Xenopus tropicalis: one gene and its partner. The protein of the gene in region 1 interacts with the protein of each later gene in a pairwise test. Links are inferred from orthologs where the notes say so. Each region holds a gene or a part of one and is shown on either strand. Other genes may lie near its edges. The genes, in order: lhx9 and khk.

The links.
Region 2: the proteins of lhx9 (region 1) and khk interact in binary tests that used the Homo sapiens proteins (3 or more experiments, as listed by UniProt). The two-hybrid records come from large-scale screens. The link is inferred for Xenopus tropicalis from reciprocal best matches to the Homo sapiens genes LHX9 and KHK.

What each region holds. Positions count from the first base shown.
Region 1 is NC_030680.2:111,158,820-111,161,860, reverse strand, and holds the end of lhx9 (LIM/homeobox protein Lhx9), read right to left. Parts: intron 2,053-3,041; coding exon 1,795-2,052; 3' UTR 517-1,794; downstream 1-516. UniProt on the Homo sapiens protein: Involved in gonadal development.
Region 2 is NC_030681.2:161,502,876-161,507,453, forward strand, and holds the start of khk (ketohexokinase), read left to right. Parts: upstream 1-1,463; 5' UTR 1,464-1,495; intron 1,496-1,522; exon of another isoform or gene 1,523-2,154; intron 2,155-3,172; 5' UTR 3,173-3,181; coding exon 3,182-3,273; intron 3,274-3,455; coding exon 3,456-3,572; intron 3,573-4,578. UniProt on the Homo sapiens protein: Catalyzes the phosphorylation of the ketose sugar fructose to fructose-1-phosphate.

The DNA of each region.
Region 1 (3,041 bases):
TATTGACTTTTTTTTATACAAAAGTAACAAAAATATTATATATTAGAAATATTTAATGTTTGTCTGGTACAATCTATCCAATACCAAAAAAAATCAATGGAGAAGAAAAACTCACTGTTCACAAAACATTTTTTACAAAATTGTATTTTGCTTATTTCCATTTTACCTAAAAAATGAACGGTTCAAATTGTTTAAAATAAACATGCCACAAATATACAGGTATAGGATGCCTTATACAGAAACCCGATATCCAGAACACTTCAAATTACGGAAAGGTCATCTCACATAGCCTCCATTTTTACTTCAAAATTTTAAAACATATTTTCTATTTTCCTATAATAATAAAACAGTACCTTGTACTTAATTCCAACTAAGATATAATTAATCCTTATTGGAGGCAAAACTTTCCCAATGGGTTTATTTATTGTTTAAATGATTTTTTTTCGAGTATGGAGAAGTATAAAGTATGGAGATCCAAATTATGGAAAATCCCTTATCTGAAAAACCTCAGATCCCGAGCATTCTGGATAACAGATCCCATACCTGTACATCCAATGCTTATTTTTAAAAAATATATTAGAAATATTAAGCTTCCTAAATTTTGTGGAAAACCATTTTTGGCAAAAAAAAAAAAAATTACAATGAGAAAACGAATGATTTTCCTGAAACTTAATATGCATCTTTCATCACTTTAGCAGAAAAATGTTGTGTGAATTACATTTTTTTTTACTTTGTGTTCATTTAAAAAAAGTAAAACATTTTGACTAAAATTTAGAATGAAATATAATTTTATTCCAGTTCATTTTGGTGAATTTAATTCAAGATTATGGAAATAAGTAATATACAATTGTATAGAGGCACTTTTAAGGATGTGTGAATTTGAATTTAACCCTTACCTCATTTGATTGTTCTCAACATAAAAATAAATGATGACACCGATTACTTGTGCCAATAACTTACATGTCATTTTTTTTGTGCATCCAGTCATCGCCCCATTTGCTATTAAAGGCAGAGTGAAATCTAGAGAACAGGTCTTTCTGCAGAACCATCGAAGGACATTTAATATAATTATTGAGAGAGGAGAACAGAGGGAGGCTCACTGGAGGAAGTAAGAGAGAAAAGTCTAACATTTTTGAAAAAGATGTGCAACAGAACCGTTTTTAGCTTCCAAGAAGGTAGGAAATGAGCTTTTGGACAAATTTTAATAAATAGGGCAATTTACTACAATAATTATTTTTTTCCTGAAAAGTGTAGTGAGACTTTTTCAGAGCTAGCTAGATGGACACACAAAAAGAAAATCAATGAACGTTGTGGCAGGTCTGTGACAGCAGTCAAGCTGCAGTCCCAGCAATATGAGTTAATGGGCATAGAGAATTTCACAGTGAGAGAGATAGAGAGAAGAGCAAAATGTAAGTGAAAATCCCCTGCACTGGCAATGCAATAAGGTTAATATATTTCAGTAATAGGTTATATGCAAGATTTCACACAAATGTTTTTGAGGGATTGTCATTATCTTGCATCTTTACAAGCTCTGCCCTTCTACATATATCCTTTTCAATTTAGAGTTCATGTTACCACCTTCATCATGCAGACTTTAACATTTTCTGTGAACAGTAATACAACAGAAGCCTATCTTCTGCATTTGCTTCACTGAGTGTCTACCTTAAATTTCTTCTTTCTTCCAAAATATTTTGAAGTGTATTTCAATGGATGGTAGAAAAAAATAATAATAAAAATAATGCAGTCTTGTGAAAATATTCATAGGGGACAGCAAGTGTAGAGCCGCAGCAGATGTTAAAAAAGGTTGGTTAGTGTTGTTTGAGAAGGGCTCCCGGACTCATGGGTGTCCATATTTGGGGTTACAGATGCCCCGACATTGAGGGAGGGGCTGGTGAGGTCTGATAATGTGGACGTGGCACCGGTTGGCGTTAGTGCAGCACTCTCTGCAGATGCTGGAGCGCTGAGAGAGGGACCTTCAACTTTATCGCCTCCCCCATTCTCCTGACGCAAAAGATTCCTTCTGAATTTCGCTCGTGCGTTTTGAAACCAAACCTGCAAACCAATCCCAGGGCATTCCTTTACCAATTATTTTATTTATTTGTTGCTTTATTTTGCTGGCTTTCTAACTTCTTTGTCCCTACCTTTTTCTTTAATGGAAGCTAAATACAAAAAACAATCATTGCCTTGTACCTTTAAAGGAGACATATAGCATATTTCAAAAAACATAGCTGAAATAAATAATATAATGGCACCTGATTTAAGGTTTGGCTATATATGATCATTACCTCTTAAATTTAAACATTTTGGAACTCTCCATAGATCACTTTGGATGCACGAGTAGTGGCAGTTTCTTAAAACAATAGATTTTTAGTGGCAGCCAACCACAGTTTTTCCCTCCCCTATCAGGTTCACCAAGCCAATCGCTGTCTGCCCAAATCATGGCAATAGCCTGCATAGTGGCTCTCCTGAACAGCCATGGAAATAGCTTAAAGCAGTAGAATGACTGGCACTTTCCTTCTATTATAGGAGTATAATGCAATAGAAAATACTTGTTATTGAGACTATATGTCACCTTTAAATTGACTTAGCACTAGAATATATTATTTATATATGTATTATCCCTAATAACTTGTCTTTATCAGAAAAACACATTCATATTTATAGATGTAGAAGCATGAAATAATGAACTTAGGCAAAAAAAAATTCAGTGTTGTTTTCAGTAGGGTAATACATAAAACAAAAGAATAATGAACCATATAGTGTGAAAGTCTCAACCTTAAAGCATTTTACTCACAATTATAACAATGCTAAATCAGTAGTATATACAAAAATGAATAATAATGTGAATGTTAAGCCCAAGAATGTCAAACTTACAATCACTGCTCATTAGCTGTTACGCAGTATACATCCCTGCAGCCTTTTAGTGGATATGAAATTTACTACAACCGTTGGAAAAATTAGCTCAAAGCTGGGCTTTAGGACTTGAGACTTCAGTGCACAAAACAATTTTTAGATTGCACAGAACATTTTAAACAAACACA
Region 2 (4,578 bases), on another chromosome or scaffold:
CTACTGTCTCCATCTTGCCCTACTGTCTCCATCTTGCCCTACTGTCTCCATCTTGCCCTACTGTTTCCTTCTTGCCCTACTGTCTCCATCTTGCCCTACAGTCCCCATCTTGCCCTACTGTCTCCATCTTGCCCTACTGTCTCCACCTTGCCCCACTGTCCCGTCTCCATCTTGCCCCACTGTCCCGTCTCCATCTTGCCCTACTGTCTCCATCTTGCCCAATGCAGTGCCACGCTACAGGATTACAGGGCACTGACACCCAAAGCCTTAGCATGTGCCTATCCGGTCGCACTGTCATGTGATTTTCTATGGAATAAAGCCTGAGCCATATTTTATTTTTACTGAATCAGCATTTCCTGAGTTTCCTTACCCTCAGCTTCTGTGTGCGGCACAGCGACTGGCACAGCGAGATAAAGGCAAAGCTAACCTTATACTGATACGTACACATATATTCCTTCCCCTGTAGGCAAACCCCTACAGTAAGGAACCCCTTCCTATGCTGATGGTGAAATCTCCTTTCCTCCCCCCCAATGAATCACACAGAGCACCTTTCCCCTAATATACAGTACAGGACCCCTCCCCACCCTGTGTATTAGAGGGGATATTTGCCCTACAGGTAACTTCAGCCCAAAGACACTTGGAATTAACAGCTTCATTGCCGTGGGGATCTGCCCCAGTCTGGAATCTCAAGAGGCTCCTCATTGGCTAATGATAGAGATCTAACACGGAATATTCCCGGCGCCCAGTCTCAGCCCAGAGGCGCTTCCCTGTCGGAAGGCTACAAATTACCCTGCACAGCTGCTACTTATCATTACGAGGCGCAATTACTGGACAATTTGCCCCGGGCCGGACAGAATGTGTCGCTGCTCGTTAGCTCCAACCGGCAGTGACTGGAACTGCCCCTACGGAATGTGACTGCGGAGTCAGTTATCTGGGGCCCATTCCTTACACCCGTGTATCGGGGGGCAGCGATGCTGGGGGTGGGGGGCTATAAGCCAGTCCCTGCAGGTTATTGTAGTTTTGCTGCTTCAGGTTCAGCAGAGGAATGGAAAAGGGAGCCTCTATCTATAATTGCATGCTGGGTATTGTAGTTTTATATTAATCTTAGCTGTGGGTTAATTGTAAAATACAAACTACATTACCCAACATGCACTGGGACAGGTACGTCAGAGGAAAACAACTTTGGCTAGTTTCCAAACTACAAACCCGCCAAGGCTCCAAAAACGGGACTAAATTTGTACCTTGACTTTGGGTTTGTACTTTGGCGAAAAACCTGCCAACCTGGCAACCCTGCGCCTCTGTAACCGGAGCGCACCGCTAGCGCTAGAGCACGCATCCAGAGATAGCTCCGCCCATCCAGAGATAGCCCCGCCCATCCATTTCTCCACTCGTGCGGTGTGAATACACAGGGGGGCGTGCGTCTCTTAGTGGTCACATGATCTCCACTATGGGCGGGGCCAGTGTGACAGAACCCGGAAGCTGGGGGGAGAGGCAGGTTAGTGGCGGATGGGAGTGTCAGTCAGGGAGTCTGTGGGGCAGATAAGGGCAGAGCGTGTGGGGCAGATAAGGGCAGAGCCTGTGGGGCAGATAAGGGCAGAGCCAGGAGCGGGAGAAGAAAGGGGCCCCAAGCTGTTTGAAATGCTTTGCAAGCTTGTCCCCCCCCCATGGGCGGGGAATGTGATAATAACACTGCCTCCCCCCATACTCACCTGTTTGTCAGCATCAGGTAGAAATAAGTCCCGCCTCCTCTCATTACAATATGAGCTGTGACTCCTCCCCCTGCTTCATTGGCTGCTGTTAGTACTAAATTGACCAACCGATGCCCCACATTGCCTGGGGGGGGACCATACATGTCCCAATGATTGTTTTGTGCAATATTATTAGTACATGTATGGCTTTAGTTCAACCACAAATACTGAGCTCTGTATAAACAACCCTCTCTTGTTATCCTTTGTTCTGCCTGTTTTGTCAGCAGGAGCCCATTATGCAGGGGGAATATCTGCACCCTGGGAATCTAATTACCTACCTAACACTTTCCCTGTTAAGCTCAAGAAATAACAATAAGCAGAGATTTTCCCTGAATGAAACAACCCAAATGAAATCAGCACAGTCCCCTCCATTGCTCAAATACTGGGAGATACTGCTCTTTAATAGGTACTGTCACAGTATGTGCAGCGAGATGCGAGGCAGCGGGATGCGAGGCAGCGGGATGCGAGGCAGCGGGATGCGAGGCAGCGGGATGCGAGGCAGCGAGATGCGAGGCAGCGAGATGCGAGGCAGCGAGGCAGCGAGATGCGAGGCAGCGAGGCAGCGGGATGCGAGGCAGCGAGATGCGAGGCAGCGAGGCAGCGGGATGCGAGGCAGCGGGATGATGCGAGGCAGCGGGATGCGAGGCAGCGGGCGTAGAGGGGCTACAGATCAGTTTTGAGAAGATTTAGTGAGCCTAAAAATGAAAGTCTTTTATACACGTATATATTAATGTGCACTGGTAATAACTGTGTTTGCTCTATAGATACGGTGCTGTGTAGCCTGGGGAGCGGCCATTCCAGTTCTGATACGGCTAAATGGCATGGGTTACAGACAGACATATATAGGGATATATATATATGCAGACAGATATAGGGATATATATATATACAGACAGATATAGGGATATATATATATACAGACAGATATAGGGATATATATATATATACAGACAGATATAGGGATATATATATATACAGACAGATATAGGGATATATATATATACAGACAGATATAGGATATATATATATACAGACAGATATAGGGATATATATATATACAGACAGATATAGGGATATATATATATACAGACAGATATAGGGATATATATATATACAGACAGATATAGGGATATATATATATATACAGACAGATATAGGGATATATATATATATACAGACAGATATAGGGATATATATATATATACAGACAGATATAGGGATATATATATATATACAGACAGATATAGGGAGCCACAAGGCACTGGGCAGATACAGTTTCTGTTAAAGAGAGGAAGGGCAGAGTTTGCTGACGCAGCGGTGCCGTAGGGCAAGGTTCACACGCAGCGGTGCCGTAGGGCAAGGGTCACATACCAGCGGGGGCAGAGCACTTCCCACTTGTTTTGAATCTTTTCTTTTGCCCACAGAGGGGAGCAATGGGGGAGAAGGGAATCCTGTGCATCGGGCTGGTGTGCCTGGATATTATTAGTGTGGTGGATAAATACCCCGAGGAGGACTCAGACAGCAGGTGAGTGATCCCCTGAGTATGTACTCACTGCTGTGATTGGGGGACGTGCCATTCGCTGACACTAAACTCCATCCCCTGTGCCCCCGTGTCCCCCTGTGCCCCCCTGTGCCCCCCTGTGTCTCCCTGTGCCCACCTGCCGGCACTGCGTATGGTTCTGTCTGACCCACATGTCTCCTCTGTAGGTGCCTGTCTCAGCGCTGGCAGCGCGGGGGCAATGCCTCCAACTCCTGCACCATCCTGGCACTACTGGGGGCTCCCTGTGCCTTCATGGGCTCCCTGGCCCCCGGGCATATGGCAGAGTAAGTACCGACTGTAGGAAACAGCCATGGGATCATGTAGAGGGATTGCTATTGGCTATTGGGCAGTCCCAGGGGTACAGAGAATATGGCTCATTAATATTAAAGGGGGAGGGGCATAGAGAAGAGAGTTCTGGGAAGGTATTTGGGAGAAAATGTTGGGGGGGTGGAGTCTGTAGTTTGGGATTCAGTGGGTGTCAGTGCCCATAATTGTCTGGCAGGGCTCTCTTGTCCTGAGATTCTGCAATATAGAATTCTTACCCCCCCCCCATGAGTGTCTGTGTCCCCCACTAATCATCTGCCAGTACCCAGCCCTGTCCCAGTACCCTCTGCCAGTACCCAGCCCTGTCCCAGTACCCTCTTCCAGTACCCATCCCTGTCCCAGTACCCTCTGCCAGTACCCAGCCCTGTCCCAGTACCCTCAGCCAGTACCCAGCCCTGTCCCAGTACCCTCTGCCAGTACCCAGCCCTGTCCCAGTACCCTCTGCCAGTACCCAGCCCTGTCCCAGTACCCTCTGCCAGTACCCAGCCCTGTCCCAGTACCCTCAGCCAGTACCCAGCCCTGTCCCAGTACCCTCTGCCAGTACCCAGCCCTGTCCCAGTACCCTCTTCCAGTACCCATCCCTGTCCCAGTACCCTCTGCCAGTACCCAGCCCTGTCCCAGTACCCTCTGCCAGTACCCAGCCCTGTCCCAGTACCCTCTGCCAGTACCCAGCCCTGTCCCAGTACCCTCTGCCAGTACCCAGCCCTGTCCCAGTACCCTCTGCCAGTACCCAGCCCTGTCCCAGTACCCTCTGCCAGTACCCAGCCCTGTCCCAGTACCCTCTGCCAGTACCCAGCCCTGTCCCAGTACCCTCCAATCCCACCAATCATCTGTCTGTAATAAACTCTTCAACCTCCAATCCAGCCAATCATCAGCCAGTAATAAACTAATCGCCCCCCAATCCCACCAATCATCTGCCAGTAATAAACAAATCACCCCCCAATCCCACCAATCATCTGTCTGTAA